Linked DNA regions of Elephas maximus indicus. The protein of the gene in region 4 interacts with the protein of the main gene of each other region in a biochemical or structural test. Links are inferred from orthologs where the notes say so. Each region holds a gene or a part of one and is shown on either strand. Other genes may lie near its edges. The genes, in order: PDZRN3, HTRA1, MAGI3 and RPS6KA1.

Region 1 (7,938 bases), on a different chromosome or scaffold from region 4:
AACCGCTCACATCTCACCTCCTCAGACTGCCGTGGTCTCCTCTCTTTTCTCTCCAGCGCATCAGTTTATGTCCTTTAGAACAGTGCTTCTCTATCTTTGTTGTTGTTGTTGTGTGTCTTTGGGTCGATTCCAACTCATAGCTGCCCCATAGGGTTTCCAAGGCTGTAGTCTTTCTGGGAGCAAGCTGCCCCATCTTTCTCCCACAGAGCGGCTGGTAGTTTGAACTGGTGGCCACCAGGGCTCCTTTCTCCAACTTCAGTTGCTTGCAAATCAGTTAGGGATCTTATTAAAATGCAGATTTTAACTCAGTAGGACCAGGGTGGGGCCTGAGATTTTGTATTTCCAACAAGCTCACAGGTGATGTCCACGTTTCTGGAACCTAGATCACACTCTCAGTAGTGCTGCTTTAGTATGCTTAATCCCATTCCATAAATATCTCAGTTACGTATTTGTTCATTGATATTTGCCTCCTCCTCCCCTATAAAGAGGGTTCCACAAGGGCAGAGACACTGACCAACTTGTTCACCTCTGCAGCACTGGCATTAGAGTAGACCTACTTAGCATGCAAACTAAAGAAGCCAAATCAGTTGCCGTCGAGTTGATTCCAGCTCATGGAGACGCCATGTGTGTCAGACTCGAACTGTGCTCCACAGAGCTTTCAATAGTTGATTTTTCAGAAGTAGACCATTTTTTTTTTTTAGACCACTAGGCCTTTCTTCCACTTAGCATTTAGTAGCTACTAAATAAATAATTATTGAATAAATTAAGATATGTCAAACATGATGAATGTTACCCAAGGGGATGTACAAGTGCTGTGGAGGTAATCCCTATGTGGATGACAGGGAAGGGGGTCTCACCAATGTGCAGCACCAGACTTTTGCACAAATGTGTAAGAAGCATTTTTCCAACTCACCCTGTTCTTCTACCCAATGCCCCCGACTGTGACAGGTCAGCCTGACTTACTCAACCAAGTCTTTTAAAGTCTCCAGGATCGAAAATTACATACCTCTCTTTGCCAGCTTCCACCCAAGGACAAACAAATCTCCCAGGCCCCCAGAATGACTTGGCATTAACTTTGTCAGGAGACAAACAATCTGATTGAAATATTTCACGCTTGTTTGCGAATGGCTCTCTGGCAGCAATTCCCGTTCGTAAAAGATGCTGATTAATCTAATTCAATGATACCATTTCAGCATCATTTATTTAGGCCTCGGGAAGCCACCAAAGAAACAAACAACCTTGACTTTTTTCCTTTTTCTAGTTCTGAACCCACAAATTATCAGGTCTCTAGGGCCAGTGGAGGACTGGTGCAGGGAAAAGTGAGATAAGTAAAGACGGAGATGTGGCGAGATGAACGGAATTGTTTGTAAGGTAGTGTCTCCCGAGGAAGGGGTTCTAGAGGAGGCAGCATAATGCCAACAGTGGTTATGAGTGCGGGTTCTGGAATCCACCTGTTTACATTCCCAGCTGCCATTTGGATAACTTACGTTCAACTTTTGTAAACCAGTTTCTTCATCTGTGAACAGAGGCTAACAACACATCTACCTGGTGTGCTGTGAGGATTAATAATGCCCATCAAGTGCTGAGCAGGTTGCTTGGCACCAAGTTGAGCTCAGTAGATGGTAGTTAATATTAGCATCTTCTGATTAAACATGCTGATGGGAAGGCCCGGAAGAACAGAGTTTAACACTAGAGGGTGATGGTGGGAAATACAAAAATCACATTTCTGTTGGGCTTGGGACCACATCTTGGCTAGAAATTGCAGAATCTGATGGGAAAATGGAGCAGTGGTGGAAGGCAGCAAGAGTAGTTTTCAAAGTGACCAATCCGCCTGTCGACAAGAATTCATCCCTATAGAAACACCCCCACCCCAGTGGAGGCTTGCATACTGCTATGATGCTGAACGGGTTTCAGCAGAGCTTCCAGGCTAAGATGGACTAGGAAGAAAGGCCTGGCAATCTACTTCCAAAAATCAGCCAGTGCAAACCCTGTGGATCATAATGGTCCTATCTACAACCAATAACGGGGATGGCACAGGACCAGGTGGTGTTTTGTGCATGGGGTTGCAATGAGTCCAGTCGGGGGCCAACCTGATGGCAGCGAACAACCACCACCACCCCCAGATGCTCTAGAGGTGACCAAGCTCCTAATCCATGTCAGGAGAAATCAGCTCCTTTTCTTGGAAGGTCTATCACACTAAACATCCCCCTTCCACAGTTTTTCTTCACATCCATTAGTGCCAGGTTGCTCTCACTATGCTGCGTTCACCTGGTCTTTCCCCAGCCAGCAGAGGACATGGGCCGCTAGGACTGCCTGACTTTGGCAATGAACAAAAAAAACTGTGGTTCTCAATACCGGAGTCAATTTTGCCCTTAAGGGACACTTGGCAATATCTGGAGATATTTTTGGCTGTTATGACAGGGTATGTGGGGTTGTGCTATTGGCATCTAGTGGGTAGAGAACAGGGATGCTGTTAAATACCCTCTAATGCACAGGACAGCCCCCATGATCCAGATGTCTGTAGTGCTGAGATTGAGAAACCCTGCCCTAAATTGTTCTCTCTCTTAGCCTTTCTGACCCTTAGTTGTACTGTCTGTAACATTCAAAGACTGGAAAATATGCATGGTTGATTCTGACTCATAGATACTGTATAGTACGGAGCAGAACTGCCCCATGGGGTTTCCAAGGAGCAGCTGGTGGATTTGTACTGCTGACTTTTTGGTTGGCAACCATAGCTCTTAACCACTGTGCCACCAGTGCTCCAGAATGTTATGTGTTCTGTTTATTATTTATTTTTTGCTGAGCTCCAGGGATTTCAATACTAAAATTAGCCAAAGAGGAGTGGTTTTAACAGACTTTCCTTTTGCCGAAAGAGGTCAACGCACAGCAGTAGGCTATAGCTCTCGGCAGCCTCAGCTGTAGCCCTTCATCAACAACCCCTCGTTCAGCCATCTGTGGGGCCACAAAGGGGTGGTGGGACCGCTCTCAAGAGTACACCAAAAGTAAGCACAAATTTCCCGTTTATGGTGTATGAGCTTTTGAGAGCTTTCGCTGTTTCTCAAAACCAGTTTGGTTTGAAGATTACCACCCTGTTGACACTGGCCCACCCTGTGAAACTGACAAGCCCACACACTTGTTGAAAGCATTTCTTTCTTACCCATTATCTGAGAGCCTGTGAGCAGCTTAATGAATACACTGATGGGAGATTCCTACCACATGCTTATCTGAACACTGGCCAGTGATACTCCACCCATGTGCTATCAAAGAAATGCATGAATTGATGAAAGATATTAAAAGAAAGTCTCTACTACAAATAGACAAACACCACCAAGGCCGATTAAAGACGGTCATCTAGTGAACTCAACAACATGCCAAAAAAATCCAGTCAATGACAACGTTTTAAAGGTCAGTTTGAAACAAATAATCATTATGGACATCAAGGCAATCCTTTCACTCCGATGAAGCAGTTAAATAGTGTCGGTCACAGAGTTTTAGCAGCCACATAAAGGAGAGAAGAAACAGCAGTTAGACAAAATGGAAGTTATAATCCCACTTTCCAGGCCCCCAGAGTCATGCTAAAACACTGGGCTGCAACTTTTCCACTTCAGTCTTCAGAAACTGCCAGTGGATTCCAAATGAGAATTCCATAGCTTCATTTCATTCTCACAGACTCTGACTGCACATTTCTTAGGAATGTCTAGAGCCTTTGGAGAAAGAAAAATCTCCAAATCCATGGACGATGCTAGGAATTTTCCACCTAGGTTTGAAACCCAAGAGTGTTCCTTTTACACTCAGGAGTATTGCTGAAAACTACCCAGTCAAGCTCACGGTACTGCCTGAAAAGCTACCCCAGCGTAGAAGAAAACAGGCCAGCATCACCTGGGAGCTTGTTACACGTGCAGGCTCTCAGGCTCCGCCCCAGACCTCCTGGATCAGAATCTGAAACGACATTCAAATTTGAGAAAACACTGCTCTACAGAATCCTAGACAAATTTTTGTCTCCTCCCGGCCTAAGCTTCCAAAGGTAAAATGGAAGCAGAACAAAGTATACACATAGGAAACAAAACAAAACTGAAGGAACGCAGGTAACCTGATGGTGGGGGATAATGCGGGGACTTGTGCAGTTAACTTTTTACCACTCAGCGTCATTTCTTTTGTAATCGCGGAAAAATAATTGGTAAATGGAGCTAACACTCTCTCACAGCATTGTATTGATGATTTTTCAAGGGGCCAATTTAAAAGCGCCCAGCACAGCCCGCGCCACACAGTGCGGACACTCGAGGTACTGGGAGAAGTGGACCGAGCCGGCACGTCCGCCTCTCCCATCCCTCAGCGGCCGGGCAGCTCACGCCTCCGCAGCATGGTCCTGGGCCCTGGAAACCTCCGCCCGCCTGTTCCAGAGCCCGCAGAACCTCTGATCGGAACTGGAGTTGCAGCAGGAACGTCCCGCAGGCTAGGTAACTTTCCCTGGTAATAAATAAATAACGGCCGTAAGTGCTAGGAGAGCGGGACCCGAATGTTTTCGCCCTTTGCAATCTGTCACAAAGAAAAAAGGGGGAAAGGGGGAGTAAACAGTCTTGATCAATCCCGGCACGGGCTCCAGGAGAACTCTTCTGAGCGAAAGCAGCAGCCACAGCTCCAACCTCAGTAAACTTTTCTCGGCTGGCATTTTATCTCCTATATCAAAAACTGCAGAAGGTCGGAGAAGAGCCCCGGTGAGCAGGGCTCAGGCTGAAGTTCTGGGCGGGCCAGTCGCCCTTGGCGAGGCTCCAGATCTCCCCACCCTCCTTTGCCTTCCGGCCTCCTCCCTTTTGCAGGGGCGGGAGGGAGACCGCCAAGACAGGATGAGTGTGCGCTCGCGCTAGCGCAAATACGGCCGGAGGAGTCCTGTTCCTCGGGCATTTTCCGAGGAAGTCTGGAGCAATTAGGCTCAGTCCGGGGAGAGCGAGCGAGCGAGCGAGCGGGCGGCGCAGCCGGCGTGTCTGGGCCGCCTCGCAGGGAGGGAGGGGGCGGCCGGCCGCCCGGCGGCGACCCCGGGCCCCGGCCGCCACCATGGGCTTCGAGCTGGACCGCTTCGACGGCGACGTGGACCCGGACCTGAAGTGCGCGCTGTGCCACAAGGTCCTGGAGGACCCCCTGACCACGCCGTGCGGCCACGTCTTCTGCGCCGGTTGCGTGTTGCCCTGGGTGGTGCAGGAGGGTAGCTGCCCTGCGCGCTGCCGCGGTCGCCTGTCGGCCAAGGAACTCAACCACGTCCTGCCGCTCAAGCGCCTCATCCTCAAGCTGGACATCAAGTGCGCGCACGCGGCGCGCGGCTGCGGCCGGGTGGTCAAGCTGCAGCAGCTGCCCGAGCACGCCGAGCGCTGCGACTTCGCGCCCGCACGCTGCCGCCACCCGGGCTGCGGCCAGGTGCTGCTGCGACGCGACGTGGAAGCGCACATGCGCGAGGCGTGCGACGCGCGGCCCGTGGGCCGCTGCCAGGAGGGCTGCGGGCTGCCCCTGACGCACGGCGAGCAGCGCGCAGGCGGCCACTGCTGCGCGCGGGCGCTGCGGGCGCACAACGGAGCGCTGCAGGCCCGCCTGGGCGCGCTGCACAAGGCGCTCAAGAAGGAGGCGCTCCGCGCAGGCAAGCGCGAGAAGTCGCTAGTGGCGCAGCTGGCCGCGGCGCAGCTCGAGTTGCAGATGACGGCGTTGCGCTACCAGAAGAAGTTCACCGAGTACAGTGCGCGCCTCGACTCGCTCAGCCGCTGCGTGGCCGCACCTCCCGGCGGCAAGGTAGGCGCTCGCCGCCCGCCCCGACCCCCTCCTAGGCACCCAGGGCCCCGCTCGGTCCTTTAGGGTACAAGGATGCCAGGAGCATCCCACGAGCATCCCTGCCTCCCTCGTCTTGCCAGCTTTATCACCAGGAGCAGGTCGCTGAACCTGTCTAAGCTTGGAACCATAGTCTTTGTAGACAAGACACACGGTGAAGTATAGCTGCATACCTTCAGGGTTTCTGGAAGAGTGAAAAAATCCACAACGAAGTTTAGAGTAAGAATCGAGTGCAGCTCCAGAGTCAGAACTGTATTCAAAGATTTTTCTGCTCAGACCAGTTGGTTGATCTTGGGGAAGTTGCTTAATCTCTGTTAAGGTTGGACACCATGGTCCCTGCAGACGTGACACACAGGGTAAACTGTATCCATGCACCCTCAGGGATTCTAGAAAGAGTAGGAACCCACAGCCATAGTGGTGTGAGCTAAGGATGACAGAAAAGAGGCCTCTGGAGTAAAAGCTGGATTCAGATGTGGGCTTTGCTGCCAACTAGCTGGGTGACCTTGAGCAAGCTGCTTAAATTAATCTCTCTAAAGTTGGAAACTGTGGTCTGTAGAGACGTGCGTGGGGCAGGGTACAGCACAGCCAGGCACCCTTTGGAGTATTCGTCCAGGGATTCCAGAAGGAATTAAAGGACCTGCCACCCAGTGTAAAGTAATCAAGAATGAGCCTACTAGCATTAGAACTGTTTTCAGAGCGTTCTGTTAACCAGCCGAGTGACTTTGGGACTTAATCACCAGGTGCTTCAGTCTCCCTAAAGGTAAAATAGGTTGTCAGAGTTCAAGGAGGGAAGGTTTGAAAAGGACCTGACCTGGCAGTGTGCCCAGTGGAGAGTAAATCCTCAGGTGCTGCCCTGCAGTCCTTTCTGACATCACCCTCTGGAGTCATCCCCTTGCCCTGGTAAAAAAAAAATGGTGATAATTAGAACAGCCACCGCTGGCCAGTGCTTACTTTGCTCCAGGCACTGTGCTAGGCACTTCCTAGTCGTTCCCTTTTTAATCAAGTAACATAGCGTGTGTCCACAGTCACAGAGCTTTTAGGTGCTAGTGCTGGGTTTTGAACTCACGTGTGCATGTCTCTCCAGCTCAAGCTTTTAACCACTATTGTTGCCTCCCAGTGTAACCACAAGTGCCATTTACTGAGTGTTTATTATGTGCCAGCAACTGCACTAAGCAGTTTACATGTATTATCTGTTTATTCCTTCAAGATGAGGAAACAGGCTCAGGAAGGTTATATAACTTGTCCACCTCAAGCAGTGCCTTGAAGCACGGCTAGGATTCAGGGTCTACCTCGGAGTGCCTAACCTTGGCACTATTGACATTTTGGGCTTATGTTGTGGGGGACTGTCTGGTGCATTGTAGGTGGTTCAGCAGTATCCCTGGTCTCTACCCACTAGATGCCAGTAGCAATCAATCCCCCCCACCCCCTGCCCATCGTGACAATCAGATATACCTCTAGACATTGCCGAGTGTCCTCTGGGGGGAAAAAAATCACCCCAGCTGAGAACCACTGGTTTCCCTGATTGCAGAGGCCACATTTTCAACAGTTGGGTGCTTCTGCCTCACTGGGGAGGGGCATGGGCCATGCTGCTGCCACTCTGGTTGCCCTGCCCCAGATGGCATGGCTGAGAAGGGTACATATTTGTCCAAGAGCCCCCAGGGCCTACATCTGCTTTGCTTCTCCCTGTCCCCTCCCATCCCCCCTCTCATGCGTGCACACCAGGCCTGCAAGTTTTCTGACTCTCTCCCTTCCTGGCCCCCAGCCTGTCTGTCAGCTGCAGCCCCAGCAGCTGGCCAGCTCTGGGCGAAGGGCAAATATTTACAGCTCCGCGGCTCACCCGGGACCGCACAGGCGCTCAAAAGACGGGTGTGAGTAGGCGAGTCACCAAAACTGAGGGCAAAGCTGGGGCTTCAAGAAGGCGCCAGGTTTGGGGTGAAGGAGTTCCCAAGTTCCCCCTGTTTATGCTGTCATCTGGACTTCCTGCGTAGTTTTAAGTAATGCTGATTTATAAATAAGCCATTCACTCCCCCAGAGTTTATACATCATTCATTGTTTTCAGCTGGTTTATTATTTTTTCTTGCCTTTCTGTTTTCATTCTGGAGTGTTTGGATAAGCTTTTTCAGAATC
Region 2 (7,591 bases), on a different chromosome or scaffold from region 4:
TGGCTTCTCTTTACTTCTTATCCTATTAGGCTACGTTAACTGCATCTTTGATTTAATTCAAAATGCTCCTTAACCTAAAATATAATAGTGTGTCTATTTAAAAATCCATGTTGCTGAGTCCATTTTTCTCAATCCATACTGCAGCAAGGCCATTCTGCCAAAAGGGATCTCCTTAAAAGCCAGAGGGAACTTTCCCAGCAGCAGCAGTGCAGAGTCTGAATATTTTAGGAGGCATCTATAGGGTTGCTATGAGTCAGAATCAAGTCGAGGGTGGTGGGTTAGAGCCCTAGCAATCTGGCCCAGGCTTCTTCCCCTCCAACTGTCTCTCCGGCCCTTAGGACCACTTTCCTGCTGAAGCCAAATGTATGGGCTCGCAGTACATACCCCAACTGTGTGCTTCCCCTGTTCCTGTACGTCTGATGAAATCCTCCCCTCCCTGGGGATGATGATCCTTGTCACCTCCTCTTAACTTCTCTAAGGAGCCCAGGTGATACAGTGGTTAAGCCCACCAGCTGCTCCATGGGAGAAAGATGTGGCAGTCTGCTCCTGTAGATTACAGCCTTGGAAGCCCTATGGGGCAGTTCTACTCTGTCCTGTAGGGTTGCTATGAGTCAGAATCCATTGGGCAGCAACAGGTACAGGGCTTAACTTCCCTGATTCCTCTCCCCCACTTTAGTCCCTTCTTTCGCCCCGCATGTGTTTTCTTATCCCTGGAGGACACCTGTCTAGAAGGGCAAGTTGAGTCTTTTGTACATTTTGGAGAACAATGGCAGCCCAGCTCCAAATGGGAGGTCTTTGCCCTACTGAGTTGCACAAACATGGCTGCTCTGTTCCAATTTAGAAGCCTCATTTCCTGAGTAAGGCTTTGGCAGTCACGGTGTTTCATTGTTCATCGTTCATGAATAGGCTTGACTGTGTTCAGAATTAAAGCTTAACCGCTACAAATTAGGGCCACTGAAAGGATGTCTGGGAATTGGCCTGTGTGGCTTCAGACCTGCCCCTTTTCTGGAAAAGTCTTCCTGAAGAATTCATGCCAAACCCTGGTCAGTGGAAAATTAGTTTTTATAATAAAAAAAAAAAAAAATTTAATAAGGAGCACTGGTGGCTCAATAGTTAAACACTGGGCTGCTGACTGAACGGTGGCTGGTTCGAATCCACCCAGTGGCTCCTCAGGGGAAAGACCTGGCAATCTGCTCCCTAAAGATGACAGCCATACAGAAAATCCTATGGGACCCTGTCCTATAGGGTCACCATGAGTCGAAATTGACTCGACGGCACACAACAACATCAAAAAAGTACGTCTTTTCAGAAACCGTCTTTATAAATGGCATCAGAGAGGGAGGGATCTAAACGAGAGGAAGAACAAAACTTTCAGATCAAAAGCATTGCTTCTGGATGCAGGGGCTTTAGAACTAAGGGAAAATCAAAAAGGGCCACGATTCCAGGTGTCTACGGGTTTGCTGTTTCCTCCCATATGTACACATGCATGTATACACGCGAGCACACACACAGCACCCTCTCACAGGGCGGTTCAGGGCTCCTATAATCCTTCCAGGAGGACGTTGATTTTTCTAATGCAGCTTCAAGGAGCTTGCTGGGAGCCCTCCACTGAGTGGCTTGTCGTCTTGGTGATCCGTGTTCTCAGCAGAGCAGATGGGTGAAGCCGCTCACAACTGTGAGATGGTCTGTGATGTGAGCATATTGAAGACCCGTCTTCCTATAACCTGGGAGGTGCAGTCTCCACTGTTCTCCTGGTGAAGGTCTGGAGGTTCTTTTTTTTAAATTGTATTTTAGATGAAGGTTTACAGAACAAACTAGTTTTTCATTAAACAGTTAGTACACATACTGTTTTATGACACTAGTTAACTACCCCACAACATGTCAACACTCTCCCTTCTCAACCTTGGGTTCCCTGTCACCAGCTTTCCTGTCCCCTCCTCCCTTCTAGTCCTTGCCCCTGGGCTGGTGTGCCCCTTCAGTCTTGTTTTGTTTTATGCGCCTGTCCAATCTTTGGCTGAAGGGTGAACCTCAGGAGTGACTTCATTACTGAGCTAAAGGGTGTCCGGGGGCCATGCTTTTGGGGTTTCTCCAACCTCTGTCAGGCCAGCACGTCTGGTCTTCCTTTTTCAGTTAGAATTTTGTTGTATATTTTTCTCCAGCTCTGTCCAGGACCCTGTATTGTCAACCCTGTCAGAGGAGTCAGTGGTTGTAGCTGGGCACCAGCTAGTTGTACTGGATTCAGTCTGGTGGAGGCTGTGGTAGATGTGGGGTCTGGAGGTTCCTAAACAATTTGTCCAGAGTCAAAGAGTTAGGGGCCAGAAGTGGGATTCGAACCCAAGCCCACCAGACAGCACAGCTCCTGCCTACTACACTAGGCCATCCTAGCCCTGGAGGGGAGAAAGTGTGTTCTAGGGACTAGTGTTCCCGCAGGCAGAGAATTTACACAGGAAGGTATGCTCCAGAAAATGCAAGTTGTTTCGTACGTACTGAGGGGGGCGAAGTGTGAAAGTGTGTGTGTGTGGGGTGGGGGTGATGGGGGATGGGGTAGACAATGGGGTCAGGGGGTGATGAGGACGGAGTGGGGACTCTCAGGGACTTGTTCTCTGACACGAAGGTGCTTGGAGGCCCATCCGGAGGCAACAGTGAGCTGTGGTCCCACGTGGGTCGGACTCTCGTCTGGCCGGGTGGCTGCAGAGCGGACGAGGCAGACTTGCAGACAGCTTTAGAAGGTGTTCTGGCTCCATCGCCCTTAATTTGTGATGTGTTGCTGGGGAGTCGCTTCTACTCTTGGGTCCTCAGTTTTCTCATCTGTAAAATGAGGGAATTAAAAGCAAGTTTTCGCCACTATCAAAAACTAACTGAACCAGTTGCCAAGTCTAGTCATTTCCCACTGAAGAATCCTGCGGCCCCGTGTGTTTCAGAGTAGAACTTCCACCCACAGGAATTTCAGGGGCTACGATCTTTCAGAAGTGGATTGCCAGGCCTTTCTTCTGAGGTGCTTCTGGGTGAATTTCGGTTACACCACCCAGGACCTCTGTGTTTCACTACAGGCCCCTTTTATTTCCTCTCCCCACTGGACTACACAGTTTGAGAAGCTTTTTGTTTGCAGATCTACTTTGTTAAGTAATTATCTTATCCCCTCCTTTTTTTAAGTTTTTTTTTTTTGTTAATCACAGCTACCTCCTCACTACACTCAGAACTTCTGATCAGCGGGAGGTGTCTGCTCTCTCAGGATGGGGCTGAGTGAATTTTGGGTCAAGGCCTCACTTCCCACAAGGATCAGGTCCCAGCTTTAGGAGGCACAGTCTGCGGAGCCAGCTAGGTACCCCATAGTCTTTCCCTTGCCCCAGGCCACGTGACCTGCTGTCTCTGCCCCATGGTCCCAGGCATCCCTCTGGATCCTGGAGGCTAACAAGGCTTACTTTCTGGAGTTGCTTTGAGGAGGGCTATAAATATTTGAGTTCTATCTTTTAAACTATTGGGAAAGTAATGCAGAAGGAAACAATCCAAAAACAGAGAAGTGGAAAATCCCTAAGGCGCCCCGGCCCCAGGATCGGCAGTCTGCCCACTGCCTTTGGGCGCCTCTGCAAGGCCCAGCACGCAGTGAACCCACCTCCCACCTGGCCTTGGGTAAAGGCTTTGCCCATCTCCTAGGGGCCGGCCAAGAGGAGACTGCCGGTCGTGGGCCCGATGCCACCTGGGCAGAAGGACCTGCCTCTGGACTGGCCCCTGCCCCTCTTGAGGACTGGCATCTGTTTCCAAAAAAAAAAAAATTTTTTTTTTTTAAAGGTTGCACCAAAGCCTGTAAGGGGAGCTCAAAGGCGATCTCTTACTTAATAGCAAAAAGATTTTGCGATAATACCAGCACGTGGTGAAAAACGGTAACAGGACAAAGCTCTTCTCCCCAGCAGCCCCTTGTGATCCCTCCCTACCCCCGTTACCACTAGCCTCCCAGGTCTCCATCGGGAGAGATTCTGGGCAGGTAAAAACACGCATCCCACCCAGAACAACTTTTTAAAGACTCCTCGGACACAAATGATAGTATTCTAAATGTTTCTCTTTGCTTTGTCACTTAACCTTGCATCTCGGTGCTGGCCTTTGCCAGCCCTGCGAGGGCCGTCTTTTTTGTTAAAGGGGCACGGGGTCCACGGCCACGGTTCCGCGTGCTGGGCACCAGGGTCACTTCCAGCGAGGCGCTTGCCCTCCTCCTCTGGAGCGCGTGACCCCAGGCCAGTGGTCCCCACCTCCACAATTTGCGGAACGTTACCTCGGCTTCCCCTTTGCAATCTGCTTTTTAGAGTTCTGGTCCGGAGTTGAAGCGTCAGTACCAAAGAAGGGAGACTATGTTGGGGGGAGGGGGAACACCTGGGAAACTGAGGCCGGAGGGGGGACGGATCCGCCCACCAACTGGCGGTGCTTGGGCGCGCCCGCCCTGCCCTCGCCGCGGGCGGCCCCGCTCCAGCCATCCGGCCGGCCCCCTCCCGGGCGCCGTGCCCATCCCCAAGGCGGCTCGTCACTGCTACGAGGCCAATAGGCTGGGCTGCCGGCAAAGCACCCTCGCGCCGCTCCCCCAGTCCCGGCCCGGCCCCCGGCACCGCCTCCTGCGTTCTCCCCGGCGCCGCTCCCGGCCCGGCCCAGCTACCGCCGCCGTCGGAGCCGCCATGCAGCCCCCACGCGCCACGCTGCTCCCGCCGCTGCTGCTGCTGCTGCTCGCCGTGTGCGCCCGGGCGCAGCTGCCCCGGTTTGGCCGCTCTGCACCCGTACCCGCGGGCCCGGCCACCGGCTGCCCCGCGCGCTGCGAGTCGGCGCGGTGCGCCCCGCCACCCGTGTACTGTGAGGCTGGCCGTGTCCGCGACGCGTGCGGCTGCTGCGAGGTGTGCGGCGCGGCCGAGGGCGAGGGGTGCGGCCCGCAGGAGGGTCCGTGCGGCGAGGGGCTGCAGTGCGTGGTGCCCTTCGGGGTACCCGTCTCGGCCACCGTGCGACGGCGCGCGCAGGCCGGCCTCTGCGTGTGCGCCAGCAGCGACCCGGTGTGCGGCAGCGACGGCAGCACTTATGCCAACCTGTGCCAGCTGCGTGCCGCCAGCCACCGCGCCGAGAGGCAGCGCCAGCCGCCGGTCATCGTCCTGCAGCGCGGCGCCTGCGGCCAAGGTACCGCTTCGCCGGGACAGGCGGGCCAGCTAAGGGGCGACGAGGGTTGGCGGGGGCTTTGAGCACCTACTTGCCGGGACAGACGCGCAGCGGCTCCCTTGTGGCAGCGGTGCGCGGGCTCCCTCGGACCGAGCTTTGTGCTCAGCCCTGGGCCGGTTCCGCGGCCCGGTGCCCGGCGCGCAGAAGGCACATAGCGCCGGGGACCCGGGACAAATAAGACGGAGGAATGTGGGCATGAAGGGAGGAGAGAAGTTCGCGACTGGGGACGGCGCCTGCAAAGACCAAGTCGGAGGCATTAGGACCACAAGGACGCGTTTCTGTTGCTCCGCTTCCGTATAACTCTGTCTCCCTAGCCCCTATATCCTTTAATGACCATGCTTTAATTTTATTATGGACCCTCTCGGTGAAAACTTTATTTACTACTACTTTTTTTTTTTTTTTTTTTTGAAAGAAACAGATTCCGTTACCCGAACCACGTCCCAGTCCTCCTAGATGTTGGGGACTGGTTTGGTAGCTGCCAGGCATCTCGGTTGCTGGCTGCCTGTCTTTCTTGGCTTGTTTAGACCCAACCCGACAGAAATGAAAGTGGCTCTTTTTGGATAAGCTGAACGGGGCTTTGGATCAGGAAATCTGCCGCGGCAGAGCAGGGAGCTGGGAGGAGAGAGGGGCAGTTCTTCTCTGTCCCGCTGCATCTACGGGACTCGGCTCGCGGGCGAGGTGCTGGGGATGGGGTGAGGAAGGTTCGTGGAGAAATCTTCCAATTCTTTCACGGCCTTCCGGAGAGATACTTCTTCTCTTCAGGCGGAGAGACCATGTGGAAAAACCAGAGTTCAGCTGCGGCCAGGCCAGCTGTGTCCACAGGCACCGGCCAGCCGTGCTTGGCCGTGCGCTTGGCGGCAACCAGGGGCTGTCGCCGGGCCCAGCACGGCCTCCCCAGCGCAGGCGCAGCGGGGCGGGGCGGGCGGGGAGGGGGAAGGGAAGCCCGGTGCCGAGGGGCTGGCCCAGAGTTTCTTTACCAGAATGTGGTCCAGCATGGCCAGCTAAGGCCCGCGGCATTTTCGCTCACAAGGAGAGCAAGGTGCCAGAGCCATCGGGGGAAAAATTGGAGATTGTGTATTCTGTCACAGCGCGGGAGCAAGGAACCAGCCTCAGCCTAGTTTAGGGGCGGAGGAGGGTTAACCTGGGGAGCAATGAAGGTGCTGTGTTAGGTTCCAGCGGCTCAAAGAAAGCCTGGTGGTGGGACTAACCCAGCAGGAGAAGACAGACCATCCTGGTAAGGAGAGTCTGCATTTCCTAGCACCGCTGTAACAAATACCACAAGTACCCGATACCTTGCCGTGGAGTCGACTCATACCACAAGCGGATGGCTTTGAAGAACAGAAATTCATTTTCTCACAGCTTAGGAGGGTAAACGTCCAAATTCAGAGTGTCGTTCTAGGGGGAGGTTCTCTGTCTATTTCAGCGGCTGGTAGCAATCCTTGGTTCCCCAGCATCTCCGCATCTCCACGTGTCACCTTTCTTTTCCTGTTTGTGCTTCCTTGTCTCTTTGTCTGTCCTGCTCACATCACTTAAATGTGATTAGGCTTAAGACACACCCTACCCTGACATGCCCTCATTAACACAGCAAAGAAAACCCTATTTCCCGATAGGATTATATCCACAGGTATAGGGGTTAGGATGCCAACGTATTTGGGGGGGACATAATTCACGGTGGGGAGTTAAGGCTGCTGCGATATGGGCACGAGGTGAAGGCTTTGAGAAAGCGTCCTGCGTATTTTGTCAAAACGAAAGCAGCTGTTCTGTGTATGCCCCCCACTGCACAGGGTTCCTGGCACCACGCGAGCCGCCTAATTTATTGCCAGTGAGGCAGTCACTTAAGGAGCTTAAGAGCTGGCAGAGTCTTTCATTTTTGGCTGGGGAGGGTCACTGGCCATCCCAGAAACCTCCAGAAGAGCTGTAAATAGGTTGATTAGGGCCTAAAATAGCTGCATTCGGTGAGGCATTATGGCGGGACCATGAGCTCACCGTGGTCATAGTGCTGGACACCTCGACACAGTGGACTGGATCTGGCATCTGTTTGGAGCTCCAGTCTCCTGGATGTGGTTCTGTGCCTTGGATTCAGAAATCAGACTTTCCATGAGCTTATGCTTCAAGTGAACAAATAGCTCTGGTCAGGCTTCATATTAAGAAGAAATCAAGCTTGGCAGCGGGTGAGGGTTTCTTGGGAGGCCAGCTGGGATGGAGACCTGGCTCTGGCCCTTCCTGGGGTGTTACCTGACCAGGTGACTGTGGCCTGTTCACCTCTGGGAGTCTCAGACCTGAGGGGATTTGACCAAAGGGTCTCTGAGGTCCCTTCTAGACGCAACAGTTTGATTCTTAAAAGAAAACACTGTCTGAAGAGGTCGTGGTCACCTTGCCCTTGTTTGAAAGGCTGGGTTTGCTT
Region 3 (7,605 bases), about 100 Mb from region 4:
TTCATTAGAACAAACTAAAATAATAATTTACTGAGTGTTCGCTGTGTATCGGGCCCTATGTTACATAAGTGCTTGACCCAAATAACTTCATTCAATTCTCACAACAATCCAGTTAGGTAAGTGCTATTATCATATCCATTTTGTGGATGAGGAAACTGAGGTTAGGTGAAGTTAAATAACTTGCCTAAGGTTACAGGGGTAGTAAATAGACTGAGATTTGCATTCTGACTCCAGAGCTCAAGCTCCTAATCACTGCAGTTTTCTGCCTTAGAGTCCATATAACTTTTAATTCTTGGTGAAGGCATGTGGGGCACTGTTGGGTGCCTACTTGTCTTAGTCATTTAGTGCTGCTATAACAGAAATACCACAAGTGGATGGCTTTAACAAAGAGAAGTCTATTTTCTCACAGACCAGTAGACTAGAAGTCCAAATTCGAGGTGCCAGCTTCAGGGGAAGACTTTCTCTGTCAGCTGTGGAGGAAGGTTCTTATCATCAGTCTTCCCTTGGTCTGGGAGCATCTTGGCGCAGGAACCTCAGGTCCAAAGGACAGGCTCTGCTCCCGGCGCTGCTTTCTTGGTGGTATGAGGTCCCCCTGCCTCTCTGCTTGTTTCTCTTTTTTATATCTCAAAAGAGATTGTCTTAAGACACTAACTAATCTTGTAGACCTCATCAATATAACTGCTGCTAATCCATCTTATTACATTATAGTGATGGGATTTATAACACACATGGAAATCACATCAGATGATAAAATGGCAGACAATCATACAAGGGAATCATGACACAATTCAATCCATGACACTACTCAACAACATTCCCCCTTTTTCCTCTCTAACAGAACCCCCATTTTTTGGGGGGTGACCCATGATCAATTTAATGAACTGTGGCAATCTCATTTCCTTTTGCCAGTGACGGTCTGCAGTGGGCATGTGATCATTTTCTGGCCAATAAGGAAGATTCTACTGGGGGGCAGTTCTGGGAAAGATTTCTATCCTTCATAAAAATGGGAGCAGTACTCACTTTCCCCCCTTCCTGCTTTGGACAATGACCTCGTAGAATGTGATGTGTAGAGCTGTGGCAGCCACGGTACAACTAAAAGGTGACAAGCCTGGTGAAGAAAGTCAACATACATAAGATGGCAGGGAGCAAACACAGAAAGAACTTAGGTCCTTGAGACAACCTATATCTGAGCTTCATGTTAAAGACATAATAAACGTCCTTCTGCTTTAAGCTACTGCTAGTTGGATATTTGGAAACCCTAGTGGCGTAGCCGTTAAGTGCTACGGCTGCTAACCAAAAGGTCAGCAGTTTGAATCCGCCAGATGCTCCTTGGAAACCTTATGGAGCAGTTCTACTCTGCCCTAAAGGGTTGCTATGAGTCGGAATCGACTCAACGGCAGGTTTGGTTTTTGGTTTAGTTGGATATTCTGTTCCTTGTAGCTAATGACATTCTAATGATAGAATCTAGGCAGTGGAAAGAAGTTTTCCAGAATTGCAGTGAAAATAGATTATGTGGAGGTTATTAAAATCTGGTGGTGCAGTGGTTAAGAGCTACGACTGCAAACCAAAAGGTAGGCAGTTGAAGTCCATCAGCCACTCCTTGGAAACCTTATGGGGCAGTTCTACTCTGTCCTGCAGGGTCGCTATGAGTCAGAATCGATTCAACGGCAACAGTTTTTTTGCATTCTTTTAAATCAAGATTTCAAGGAGCCCTGGTGCCTCCGTGGTTAAGAGTTCGGCTGCTAACCAAAAAGCCAGCTTGTTCAAACCCACCAGCCACTCTGTGGGAGAAAGATGTGACAATCTGCTTCCGTAAAGATTTACAGCCTTGAAAATCTTGTGGGGCAGTTCTATTCTGTCCTATGGGGTCTCTATGAGTTGGAATCAACTCAACGGAGCTTTTTTTTTCCCCCAGTAAACCAAAAAGAAAGTTTTATTCGGCATATATCCAAAAAGGCAAAAGTGGGAAATTGGACAAGCATGTTGCTAGAGCCATGCGTGCCTGAGTCCACGGAAATATTACAGAATAGGCAAGAATGAGAAAACAGACAAGAATGCTGCTAGAGCCATGTCTGCCCAAGTCCGAGGAACATTACAGAAGGAAATGGATTTTTTAAAATCAAGATTTCATCCAGGAATCTGCTAGTGTAGGTGGTAGCTGGGTGGGGGGGGGGAGGGGGGGGACAGAACCCAACCACAATTTAAAAAAATTCCAACTATGTCTCAGATTAGGATAATCTGAACAATCCACATTGTATCTGTGCTGGATATTTCCTCTTTGTCCCGCCAGATGCAGTGTATCCTTTGTGAAACTGACTGAGGGGGACTATGTAAAGGGCTCCCTTGCCCTCTGGCTTCTGGTTGGATTTGGCCATTGGGATGCACCAGCAGGAGGAGATTGAAGGAGAGAGGTGAGTGAGATATAAACCTCCCAGCTTCCTCCATAAGTGATTACTTAGGCTGACTGCATCCCTTGACTGAAAGTCATGGACTCATGCCAAGGAGCCCTCTCTGTATCTGAGTTTTGGTAACTGTTTCTTCCTCTTGCCTCTATAGGTCTCCGAGCTTGTAGCCTCAGCGTTCCATGCTTCTCTTGTGGTTTCCCACACCCTGCCCACATCTTTGTAAAGTGCCATTTGTTTCCTGCCAGGACCCTGACTGATAAGATGGTGTGAATGAAATCACTGCAGCTGCTGAAGCTTGGTCCAGTCTATCTGAGATTTGATGAGGTTCTGTGTAGTTATTCATAGTTAAAAATGGGGTTTTCCCTACTGTTAAAAGGTGGTAGGAGTCTACCTAAATAAGTGCCATCCTGCAATGTGAAATAAAGTATCATAGCTCAAAGAAAACGCTTTTCACATGAGGATCAAATCAGAGACGGCTATGTGGAAGAGATAGCATTTGCAGTGAGGATGGAAAGGATTTTTAAATGAGATGGGATAAAGGGCATTCCAAACAGAGCCCAAAGACTGAGTCAAGCCAAGATGGAGAAAAAGGTCAAGGGGAGTTTCTCAAAAATTAGTGCTGGGAGGGACCTAAGATATTCATTATTCAATATTAGCTCTCCCTTCAGCTCCTTTACAGATGTGTAAACTTGAAGCTGAAATTTGGTCAAGGTCAAACAGCAAGCAAGGAGCATGCCATGACTCCAGCCAGGTAAGTGGGCTACCAGGCTAGCTTCTAATCCATCCTTCGCCCCCACCTCACTCCAGGCAGTCGGCTTACTTATCAGTCTCTCCCACTATATTGTTATGTCTTTGAGGGCAGATCCTCTGTTTTAGGTATTCTGGTACCCCAGTATCTAGCACAATTTCTATCTGACACAAAGTCACAGCCATTGCCGTCATCATTCTCTTATCAGCTACCAAATGTTAAGAAGCATTTAACCGCTGCCAGCCACCACGCTGATATTTTATATGTATCACATTTAATCTCCGCAGCAACTTGAAGGGGCAGGTATAATTATCTCCATTTTTTAGTCAAGAATGCTGCGGCTCAGAGAGGTTGCCTAATTTGCCCGAGGTCACACAGCAGTTAGGTGCAGGGCTCTATTTTACTTTCCATCAACCAGACTTCGGAGCCCAGGTCTCAATACCCAGTACCCCGTGCCATCGATGGCACACAAATAACATTTGTTGAATGAACAACAATCACGTAGGTAACCACCCTGGAGGTGCCACCACCTGGGAGCACGGACTCCGCACGTCGCCTCCTACCAGAATACAACGGGTTTCTCTCAGCGCCCGGCGCAGGCTCGAGGCTCCGCCCTCAAGCAGCCTGGCTCGCCAGCCACGCCCCTACCTCGGGGAGTTCGGTCGCTCCTCACATCCGAGTTTCCCCTTGGCTCTAGCGACCGTGCGGAGGGCCTCTCCCGGCCCTGCGACCTGGAGTCCACTCCAGTCCCCCGCCCACCCTCGCTCTCCAAACTTCTTTTTTCCACCCTCTCTAAACTTCAGTCATTCTAGTACCCGCCTCCTCCACTCCCATCGACCAATCGGTGGTCCTCGTTCTCCGTGAGGGCCCGCCCCCTGTGCACCGGGGGCCAATCCCCGACGTGAAAGTCGAGTGCTGGGGCTCGTTCCCAAGCGCTCGGCCTGTGACGGCAGCGCGCCGGGCGCCGCGCGGCGGGAGGGGGCGGGGTTCTGGATGAGGGCTGGGCGAGGGCGGGGGGAAGGGGAGAGGGCGGAGGAGGAGGTTGCGGCGGGTTTGAAAGCGGCAGTTTCCTGGCAGCCTGGGCAGGCGTTGGTCTCCGCTCTCCAGCGCCGCAGCGATCGAGACCGATCCAGCGACGGCTCCACGCGCGCTTCTGCGCGTCCCCGACGGATTTTTCACGTCCCAGCTCTTCCTCCTTCACCTCCCCGCCCCCTTGCCTCAGCCTTTCCCGCCGCTCGGGCGCGGAGCCCGGGGGCCAGCCGTCGGCAGTGACCCCGCCCGAAACCCCTTCTGGAGCCGCCCGGGGACAATTCCCTTCTCCTTTCTTCACCCTAATCCGGGGTGGCCCTCGCCGAGCCCGGTCAGCCCGGGGGAGCGCAGCCGGGAGAGGCGTCGGAGGGGCGCCTCGGGGCTTGGAGCGTCCCGGCCCCCAGCGGGCTGCGGTCGGGGGGCCGGGCGGCGAGGCCCCCCTCGCCGGGCTGCGCGGGCCGCCTGGGGTCCCCAGGCTGACAAGGGGCCGGAGCGGCGCCCCGGCCGCCCGCGCGGGGTCTCCCCCATGGTGCAGCGGGGTTCGGGATGTCGAAGACCCTGAAGAAGAAGAAGCACTGGCTCAGTAAGGTGCAGGAGTGCGCGGTGTCCTGGGCCGGGTCCCCGGGCGACCTGGGCGCAGAGATCCGGGGCGGCGCGGAGCGCGGCGAGTTCCCCTACCTGGGGCGGCTCCGGGAGGAGCCGGGCGGGGGCACCTGCTTCGTCGTCTCCGGCAAGGCGCCCAGCCCCGGGGATGTGCTGCTGGAGGTGAACGGGACGCCTGTCAGCGGGCTCACCAACCGGGATACCCTGGCTGTCATCCGCCACTTCCGCGAGCCTATCCGTCTCAAGACTGTGAAGCCAGGTACACCGGCCCTGCCTTCTGACGCGGGGGGCAGGGGGCCAGGGTGGGGGTCCTGGGAGCGGCGGCACCTCCCCCAGTTTTATCGTCCCGGGTAATCTTAGACCTCTAGGGTGTGCCTGACTCCTTGGAGGGGGAGGGGTGGCGGCGGTGATTCCCCTTTTGCCAGTAGGGAAACTGAGCTCTGACTTGGCAGGGCTGCTCTGTAAGCTGTCACAGAATTGTGACCAGAATCTAGGTTTCCTAAATTTGTAGCTCTGTCTCCCACCGCAGAGTTTTTGACTAGAAAAAGCTAGCTCTTTTCTGCTCTCCTTTGTGGAAAAGGTCCTCACGATTGTACCATTTTCTTTGGAACAGTCTTACGCATCTTCTAACGGGGGAGAAGCTTCTTACTATTAAGGCACTTGGTGCCAGGGTTAACCATCTAGTGTACCTAGGAGGGCTTAGCCGCTCCGGTGTTTCTTACACACTAGCAACATCTCAGAACTGACAGCCTAACTCTACCAGTTCAGGTGGCTCAGGTGACTGCGTACCGATCTGTGATGTGTGGCGGAGTGGTGTGTTCCTGCTTGGAGCTGTTGAATAGAATCTGGGTTTTGAACAAGACCATGGTGCCTAGCTGAGTAGAAGCTTTTGTAAATCTCTTGATTTTGCAGAATATTGTTGAAGGGATGGGTAAAAAAGAACCCATGTTTCCCTGGTGTCTTTTATGCTAGTAAAATCTGCTGCAAAGAACATTACGTTCATGGCATACTTGACGGTTTCAGAGCGTTGATCAGGCTGCACACAGTGAAATCTGTTAGTATGTAGTAGTCCTCGCATATTTTGTTATCCACAACATTGTTGGTTGTTTCAGCATTAGTATAATGTGTTTCTGTCATCTAAGATGTTTGTAGAAGGGAATTATGATTACAGGGTTATTAAAAATCACACTATTTTTGCTGAATGTGCTCTACTTAATATACCGTGCATTGAAATACAATGGGCTGCTGAATTTTGACTTGTATTAGAAATCAGGCCATCCTTTCACCGTAAAACGCTAGGAAAACCTAGGGAAGAATTTAGTATGTTATCTTTTTTTGTTTTGGTTGGTTGTTTTGTTTCGTTTTTTTCTTTTTCAGCAGCTCTCTTTGGACATATCTCTTTAATAGTCCCTGAGCTTAATCAGAACTGATGGCTTATGGTGCAATGTACGTGTGCGTGTATTGTGGATATACTTACACATACACTCACATGGTCCTACAATCTTAAGATTTTCATACTGTAGTCTACTCTATCATATTCATTTTAAGTTCATAGGTTTATGTTTTTAAAATGTTACTAAGTTTTTAAACTTTGGCAAATTTTAAACATCCTTTTTTGTATAGTTTTGTGAATTCCAAAATTCTTTCTTAACTCAGACTTATATAGAACCTTATGTAAAAGGTCATGAAAAGACTTCGGGGCTATAATTCAGCCAGTGAGACACTGTGTGTAATATGCAAAGTGGTATCTACATAGCATTGACTAGCCTAGGTGCCATTTAGTTCAGATCCCACGAGTGAAGGAATAATGAGAACATCTGCATCATTGCCTTGTGTTTTGTTTTGATTAGTTGGGGCATGGATGAGGTTATAGCTGTTCTTTTCAGAAATAGGCTTAACGTTGATACGTTGATGAGGAAGCTGATGCATTTTCAAATTATTATGATTCTTTTAGAAAACTGGGAAGATGTATTGTTAACATCAGCCTGGTCTGCATGTTATACATTTTCTCAACCTCTATATCAAATTCAGGAAAATGATTAAAGGTTTAGAGTGTGCTCAGTAATACTGTGCTGAATAAATATTTTATTCTCAGAATGTAGTTGAAATTTTTATAGTAGAAAAAATTTGCTTTTTTAACAACCAAAGACACTGTCCTATTTTAAAAGTTTAGTCAAAATAAAAGTAATAATTTGTATTAATGGGTATAGCACATTTTGTAATTATTAATAATAAATATACTTATTTTAATAATATATTTTTTAAAAATACATTCCACTTCAGTAATTTCTAAAGGATACTACTACATCTGTGTCATCCAAAATTAATACTCGTGTTTCTAAACAAGTTGTAATTTTAAAATTTTAATTGCTTAAAAAAAATCATAGTCTTAATTTCTTAATAGTCTCATGTTAGGTATTTAAATGGATTTCTTAAATGGCTTTGCTTAAAAGCAACATTTATTATAAGATAGCAAGGTTTTTGCAGGTTAAACACAAGACTTTAAATATTAGAAATTAAGAATTTGAAGAGGTTTTTTGTAGAACTTTGTGAGTGATTAAAAACAGCGTAAGTATTATCTCCAGGGAAGACAAAGATTCTTTACTGTTGTGATTAATTTTCAAAAGGTTGAAAATACAGAGTAAAAGAATTTAAAAAGGAACTTGCCCTTCACATTGTTTTTTCCTTTTGTCTAAAATTTGTGAGATAAATGGATTTTTAAATTAGCAAGGTATTATAAAGTGTACTTAGCATTCTGTCCCTTGTCTTGACTAGTGACTGTTTATTAAACTATATTTGTAACATATCATTTAGAAACTA
Region 4 (6,934 bases):
GAGCTCTCTGAGGACAAGGCTAGGGTCTACCTTAACATTTCTGCCTCCTGGTGTCCACCTCTGGCCTGGGACAGAGTAGGGGCCAGCAGTGTGAGTGATGTGCAGAGAGGGGCCAGGCTGGCCTTGCTGGGAGGGTGACAACGAAATTCTTAAGTGGGGGCTTTGGAAGCAGACAGACTTTGAATTTGCTCTTCGCACTATCCTTTTCTAGCGGTGTGAACTTGGGCAAGTCACTGTCTCTGAGTCTAGTGTCCTTATCTTTGAAATGGAGATGACAGATACCTCCCCGGGAGCTGAGACCCAGGATCTCAGCTCCAGTGCTAGGGCCTCGCAGAACCCACATCATCAAAGATTGCAGGAAAGAATGGCTGCATGCGAGAAGCGCTTAAGTGATAGAAAGTACAGTTCCCCTCGTTACTATAAGCCAGTCCTGGCCTAGGGCCTGAGGCCACCTCCCCACTCAAGGAGGCCTGGGACTAGGGACTCCTCCTCACCTGCCCAGAAGTATGCTGGGAGATGTATCTGGGGACATCTGTCCCACCAGAGGGGCCCATGTCTAGGAGGCCATGTAGATGCTGCCAGCTAGGGAAGGGGCTGTTGGTGTCCATTAGAGCCAGGGGCAGGCAGGTGGGCTTGAGCTGCAGCTGGTGGAGGGAGGCCCAGGGTGGGGGCCTTGGTGGCCAGGGATCAGGCTAGGGGGCTCTGGGCTTCTCTCCCAGCTGCTGTGTGGGAGGAAGTAAATAAAGAGGAAGTGTCTATGAGGGGAGAAAGGGTCCGGGACCAAGGGGATGTGGGCTGGTGCCTGTCCTCCCCCTCCCATCACCAGAGGCCGCACAGCCCCTCCAAACATCCTTCTGTGAAGGCAGTTCTGAAACTGTTTCCTTCCTGTTGCCCGTTCCTGTAGTGTGCTGGCCATAGAAGTTCTTCCTCTGCTTCTAGGGGGCGGGCTGGGGGAGAGGCCAAGCTGGCACTGGCCCCTCCTCTGTTGCTGGACCGACCAGACGTTCTAAGGCTCTCAGGGCTGCCCTGGCCCCCAAGTCCTGGCCTGAGGACTCTGGGTGGCAATGAGAGGCCTCAGTTAAGGGGAACATCTTTCACAACCCCCGCCAGGACGCCACCTGTCAGAGAATGTTGTTATTGGAGGCCCTGCGAGAGCCGGGAAGGGGAAGTCTGTGTGTACGTGGGGGTGTGGATTTCCACATAGGGGATGTCTGTGGAAATGGTTTCCAGCCGTCAGCCTGAGTGTGTGTCTGTGCGCGCTCGTGTCAGTTCCTGTGGGTGTACTGGTATGAGTGAGGAGGTGGAGCCACGTGGTAAGGGCAGGGCCTGGTCCACCCCTATCCCACAGCCACCTGTTCCTCCACCTAGACCTCTGTGTTGAGTTGTCCAGTGGGCAGCCAGGGTCCTTGTCTAGGGGCTTCTGCCCCATTGTCCATCCCAGGGTCTTAGACTGGCAGGCTTCTTCAGGAAGGGCTTGGAGAATGGGGCCTCTGAGCAGGGGCAGGGCTGAGTATGGTGCTTGCTCTGTGGGCTGATGTTTCGGGTGAGCCTAGCCATGAAGGTTGCTATGGGGGAGGGAGTGTCCTCGGGAGTTGGACCAACTAAGTGCTGAGCTATGTAGTTCAAGGCTGTGGCCTTGCTGATTTCTGTTCCCATTCTCTCAGACCCCTCTTGGGGGTGCTGGGATGTCTACTGTGTCCCGGCGTTATCTCTATGTGACTTCTGTGATCCTGTCTCCCCCTTCGGGGAGACAAGTGAGGTGCATCCCCGAGTCATCCTTGGGGCTTCGGGTTTAGGGTCTGCACTATCCCCACCTTGGCAGGGAGCCTGACCCGTCTTCTGTCCCTCCTCCCAGCAGAGGGGGAAGTGAGAAGGAGGGAGGCCATGGACCCTGCCTTCTGGGCTGGTAAGGCTAAAAAAGCAGAAGTAAGGGGAGTAACGGGGCCCTCTGGCCACCAGCTTGAGCCCCACCATGCAGACCCCGGCAGACTTCCCCAGGTTTGAGGGAGACTCAGTTCCCTGTCCCAGAAAGGTGAGCAGAGAGGTGGCCTGCCTCCAACAGTGTCTGTCACGACAACTCTGGGCGAGGACTGGGTTTGGGGGTGGCTATGTCCCCTGGGGTTTCTGGGTGGCTGCCTCTGCCCCCAGAGAGTGTTCTCAGTCAGAGGCAGACAGATGAGGTGGAAGCTCAGATCTTAGAGTGGGGTTAGCAGGCATTGCTGTTTTCTTGGCCCACCCCCGCCTCTCTCTGAGCCAGGCTTTCTGCCTGTCCCTCCAGGGGTTTATACTCAGGGGCCCGATTAGCCTGCAGCTTTCAGTGGCTGCTACACCCACTCCCCCATCTGTCAGGGAGAGTCCTCTGAAGATGGGGCTGTGTCTCTGAGGGTCAGGACCTAGAGTGGGAAGTCCCCAGGCTGATCCTAATGGTGAGGGTGGGGGCAGGCTGGGGTGGGCAGGAAGTGGCTCTGGCTGACTTACCTGCCCACCCTTTCCTGGCACTAAAGGCCAGGCAGAAACCAGGGGAGGGACTTGGGTTCAAGCCGACTCTGCCGCTTGGCTCGTTTTGAGTCTGGGTGAGTCACTGTCCTTCTCTGGGCCTCAGTTTCTTGTTCTCAAAATGGAGATAATGGTTTTTGGGATATTTTGGGTCAGAGTCAAAGTCATCAGATGACATCAGGAGATGGTCTCTCAGCCCACTGTCTTAGTCCTGGGCCTCCTCAGGCTCTGGCGTAGGAAGAAAATCTGAGGGAAACGGAAAACCTCATTGTTGGGTCTGCCATGAATACTGGGCTACTCTCCTGAGTCGTGGGGGTTTGCTGTTATATCTCCTTACCCTTCCTCCTCCCTAGACAAACCAACGAGAACCCAGAATTCTACCCTCCAGCCCCTCAGAAAGGTCTGACCCCCTTTCCTAGGGATCCCTGCCTTGCTGCCTGTCTGTTCGCTGTCACATTCATCTGCTCTGGGCGCCTGACAGTCTACTTGGGCCTAACTGACTCTGACTGTCTCTGTCTGCTACCTGTCTGCCTCAACTATTGAGTTCCTGTGTCTGTCTTTACCTATCAGATACATGTTCCCATTTGTCTCTTCCTGTTGGGCTCGTGTCACCTTCTGTCTCTGCCTGTTGGATACAGGAACTCCTCTTTCTCAGCCTCTTGGGTATGTGTCCCAGCTGTCTTTGCCTGTTGGGTACGTGTCTACATCTGTCTTGCCTGTTAGATACAAGTTCCCATCGGCCTCTGCCTCTTGGGTGAAAGTCCCTGTCTGTCTCCATCTGTTGGGTACAAGTCCCCATCTGCCCCTCTGCCTGTTGGGTGTGTGTCGCTATCCATTTCCCAGTTGGGTACGAGTCCTCATCTGCCTCTGCCTGTTGGTTATGAGTCCCCATCCAGCTCCACTTCTTGGGTTCATGTTCCTGTCTGTCTCCACCTGTGGGATATGTGTCCCCATCTGCCTCTGTCTATTGGATATTTCCCCATCTGCCTCTGCATGTGCCCCTTTCTGTCTGTGCCTTTTGGGTACGTGTCCCTGTCTGTGTCCACCTGTTGGGTATGTGTTTCCTCCTGCCTCCTCCTGCTGAGTATGAGTCTCCTTCTGTCTCTGCCTGTTGAGTACATGTCCTAGTCCATCTCTGCCTGTTGAATGCCTGTCTTTATCTCTCTCCACCTCTTGGGTGCGTGCCCCTGTCTCTTGGGTATCTCCCTTTATCTGCCTCCACGTGCCTCTGCTGTAGAGTTCCTGTCTCTGTCTCTCCTGATGAGTGCATATCTTCACCTCTGCCTGATGGGTGCCTATCTACTCCTCAGCAGATGGGTTGGCCTGGGCCTTTCGCTTTACAGGCCCAACAGGGAGGGTGGGAGGAGGGCCAGAGGGCAGCCCTCAAGCATTGGGGAGGGGAGAAGAGAGAGAGGAAGGGAACAGGGTGAGGGTATAGGCCTGGAGCTGGGAAACCACAGGCCCTGAATGATTGGCGGTCCTGGGCCAGGCCCAGCCCCCGCCCTCACCCTGCACATCCGCCTTGAGCCTGGCCACCTCCGCGGCAGCCCCGACTCTGCCTGCTCCTGCCATGGTGCCACGGCCCTGCCGGGCGAATGGAGCAGGATCCCAAGTCGCCCCGTCTGCGGCTTTGGGCCCTGCTCCCCTGGCTGCCCAGGAAGCAGCGGCCCAGGATCAGCCAGACCTCGCTGCCTGCCTCAGGCCCTGGCTCTGGCCCCCGGCGGGACTCGGTGAGTATGTCCAGATGTCTGGCCCTGCCCAGCTATGGCCCTGGGAGCAGGTGCCTAGGCAGCCAGTTTGGCCTAAGCTGGCTTTGGACTGTCCTAGCCCAGGCCTGGCTGTGTTGGATGGCTGAACCCTGCCCAGAGTTGCTTCCTGGGAAAGTGAAGAGGCGCTTCAGGGCTCTAGGGCAATGGTAGTAGGTTGGAGGAAGGGAAGAGGGGTCCTAGAATAGCCAGGACCTGGCAAGGGGCTTCTCATAGGCTTGTATGAGGGAAGTTTGGGAGGGAGGGCATTGAGTCTGGCGTTAACTCCCAACCGCCCCATGTTGGCACTTACTGGGTTGGTGGTAGAGTCCCAGATGACGCTTAGGTCTCTGTGTACTTCAGCCCTGTCCTACCTGCCAGAGGGATCCCCCCGTTTCCCATCCTGATCAGGAACAAAGGCTCAACTCCACCTCCCCACTATGAGAACAAACCCTACTTCCTATTGTGGTAAAACCAAAAACCTTTGCAGCAGGGGGAGGGGAGCCCCACAGGGAGGGCCTGGGGCAGGCCTACTACGGGCCTCAGCCAGAGCCTGGGGTTGGGGGATTCCCTCCTGCCCATGCCTGGGCATCCCAGGCCAGAGCAGCAAGAAAACAGGAACACCTTGGTGGTTTGACCCTCTCTGACCTTTGAGGCCCTTTTTGGTTCGGTGAACTGGAGGCTGACTGTATTAGGGTGGCTGTCTGGTCAGGCCTGTGCGGCCCTGTCTGGTGAAATCTGCTGGGAATGGACTTGGATTTGGGGGACGGTGCCTCCATGCTCACCGACTCTGTCTCCCCACCAGGATGAGGGCATCCTCAAGGAGATCTCCATCACACACCATGTCAAGGCTGGCTCTGAGAAGGCTGACCCATCCCATTTCGAGCTCCTCAAGGTTCTGGGCCAGGGATCCTTTGGCAAAGTAAGTTCTGAGCCCACAGCTGGGAGGGCAGCACTGGCCATGTCAGAGGTGGGAGGTGAGGGGTCACCTCAGAGCCCAGAGTGAGAAGAGTAACTTCTGGGGTCACTGGGGTGAGGGGTCACCTTTGTGCTCAAGGGATCAGGGGCAAGGGTTGATGGGCTTTTCTCCCACTGCCTTCCCAGGTCTTCCTGGTAAGGAAGGTCACCCGACCTGATAGCGGACATCTATATGCTATGAAGGTACTGAAGAAGGCAACACTGAAAGGTGAGTGGGGAGCACCTCCCCATGCGAGCCCAGGCTGGGCACAGGGTTGATGGAGACAGCCTAGTCCTCAGGGCCTTTGGTCTGATGGGAGAGGTAGCCCTATTCTCAGGAGCACCTAGTCTGAGGGAGGAGAAACCGGCCTACTCTCAGCTGCCTGCCATCCCACCCCACCTGATGGGGAAGACAGGGTCCACTTAGAAGAAAAGACTTCAAGCCGTTAACCCTCCACCTGATCCCCACCATCACTAATGAAGCCACATGCCAATGGCTAAGGCTGAAGGTGGTTGTCTAGAAGAAGGTAGTGGGGCAAATGCAATGTGTTTGTGGTGTGGTGGGGGCCCTCTAATATGGTTAGGCAGAGGTGTTCTAACTGTCAGTAAAATTTGGGGAGACCTCTCTGGACTCATTGGAGGAGAAGGGCATGAGAGAAGAGGCAGGAACCCAGGGAGCCAGGTGGGCCAAGAGAAGGTGAGGTTGAGGCAGGGCCATGGAGATGGATGGCACAGGGGTTCAGAGGGAGCATGAGCCAAAGTCTAGCATTTTGAGGACTTACAAGGGGTGTGCGGGTGGTTGGTGGAGGGCTTTGGGCTGGACATTGACTCTTTGATTGGTTCGGGAACCAGTGTGGCTGCTGACCAAGTGAAGTGGGGGCAATAGGAGGCCTTAGAGATGTTATGGATCATGTGGCCCATGAAGGGCTGTCTGGAGTGTTGGTAGCTTTGGTGCCTCTGGGCCAACCTGAGGTAGGGATGGGAGTCATTCCCCAGGAGGGATGGTGGGAGCCACAGGGAAGGAGAAAGATGAAGACATTTGGTCCCTGCCCGGGAAGGCCTCCTAGGCTGGGCAGGAGAAGCTAAAAGACCGTCAGACTGGAGAGATGGGCAGGGGGCCAAGGGCCCATCCCTGGACCTTGCATAAGGGGCAGGGACAGGAAGCAAACCAAGGAGCCAGACACAGAATAAGAGCAAAGGAAGAAACCTGAAGATTGAGTGTGCCCACAAGCCCTGGGGAGGAAGCTCCGGGAGCTCAGACCTGGAAGAACAAGTAGAAAAGAGGGTCCTTCTTAGCCAGGGTTTGGAGAGTGGCTGGCTATGTGGGTGGCTGGACTACTGGGAGGGCTCTAGCGTGACGGCCTTTCTCCTCTGGCCAGTCCGTGACCGGGTCCGGACCAAGATGGAGAGAGACATCCTGGCTGACGTCAACCACCCATTTGTGGTGAAGCTGCACTACGGTGAGACCACAGACCTACCTGCCCTGCTCACCAGCCTTCACCCTTGCCTCTGGGGTGCTGCCTTCCCTGTACCTTATGGCACCTCCCACCAAGCAGGCCAAGAGAGCGGGAGGAGGCAGGGGAGTAGGTTCCAGAGCCTAGCTGGCTCTACCATTGCATCTTCCCCTCTCCCCAGCCTTCCAGACCGAGGGCAAGCTCTATCTCATTCTGGACTTCCTGCGTGGCGGAGACCTCTTCACACGGCTCTCTAAGGAGGTGAGCCAGCACCCCCCTACC

The links.
Region 1: the proteins of RPS6KA1 (region 4) and PDZRN3 interact in a test that uses a peptide from one of them, tested with the Homo sapiens proteins (2 studies listed by BioGRID and IntAct, with this or other methods). The link is inferred for Elephas maximus indicus from reciprocal best matches to the Homo sapiens genes RPS6KA1 and PDZRN3.
Region 2: the proteins of RPS6KA1 (region 4) and HTRA1 interact in a test that uses a peptide from one of them, tested with the Homo sapiens proteins (2 studies listed by BioGRID and IntAct, with this or other methods). The link is inferred for Elephas maximus indicus from reciprocal best matches to the Homo sapiens genes RPS6KA1 and HTRA1.
Region 3: the proteins of RPS6KA1 (region 4) and MAGI3 interact in a test that uses a peptide from one of them, tested with the Homo sapiens proteins (2 studies listed by BioGRID and IntAct). The link is inferred for Elephas maximus indicus from reciprocal best matches to the Homo sapiens genes RPS6KA1 and MAGI3.

What each region holds. Positions count from the first base shown.
Region 1 is NC_064838.1:21,232,628-21,240,565, reverse strand, and holds the start of PDZRN3 (E3 ubiquitin-protein ligase PDZRN3), read left to right. Parts: upstream 1-4,924; 5' UTR 4,925-5,052; coding exon 5,053-5,775; intron 5,776-7,938. UniProt on the Homo sapiens protein: E3 ubiquitin-protein ligase. Plays an important role in regulating the surface level of MUSK on myotubes. Mediates the ubiquitination of MUSK, promoting its endocytosis and lysosomal degradation. Might contribute to terminal myogenic differentiation.
Region 2 is NC_064834.1:72,799,189-72,806,779, forward strand, and holds the start of HTRA1 (serine protease HTRA1), read left to right. Parts: upstream 1-4,591; 5' UTR 4,592-4,661; coding exon 4,662-5,148; intron 5,149-7,591. UniProt on the Homo sapiens protein: Serine protease with a variety of targets, including extracellular matrix proteins such as fibronectin. HTRA1-generated fibronectin fragments further induce synovial cells to up-regulate MMP1 and MMP3 production.
Region 3 is NC_064821.1:167,277,065-167,284,669, reverse strand, and holds the start of MAGI3 (membrane-associated guanylate kinase, WW and PDZ domain-containing protein 3), read left to right. Parts: upstream 1-4,595; 5' UTR 4,596-4,728; coding exon 4,729-5,044; intron 5,045-7,605.
Region 4 is NC_064821.1:67,007,243-67,014,176, forward strand, and holds the start of RPS6KA1 (ribosomal protein S6 kinase alpha-1), read left to right. Parts: upstream 1-3,927; 5' UTR 3,928-4,091; coding exon 4,092-4,226; intron 4,227-5,046; coding exon 5,047-5,163; intron 5,164-5,345; coding exon 5,346-5,427; intron 5,428-6,577; coding exon 6,578-6,658; intron 6,659-6,833; coding exon 6,834-6,913; intron 6,914-6,934. UniProt on the Homo sapiens protein: Serine/threonine-protein kinase that acts downstream of ERK (MAPK1/ERK2 and MAPK3/ERK1) signaling and mediates mitogenic and stress-induced activation of the transcription factors CREB1, ETV1/ER81 and NR4A1/NUR77, regulates translation through RPS6 and EIF4B phosphorylation, and mediates cellular proliferation, survival, and differentiation by modulating mTOR signaling and repressing pro-apoptotic function of BAD and DAPK1.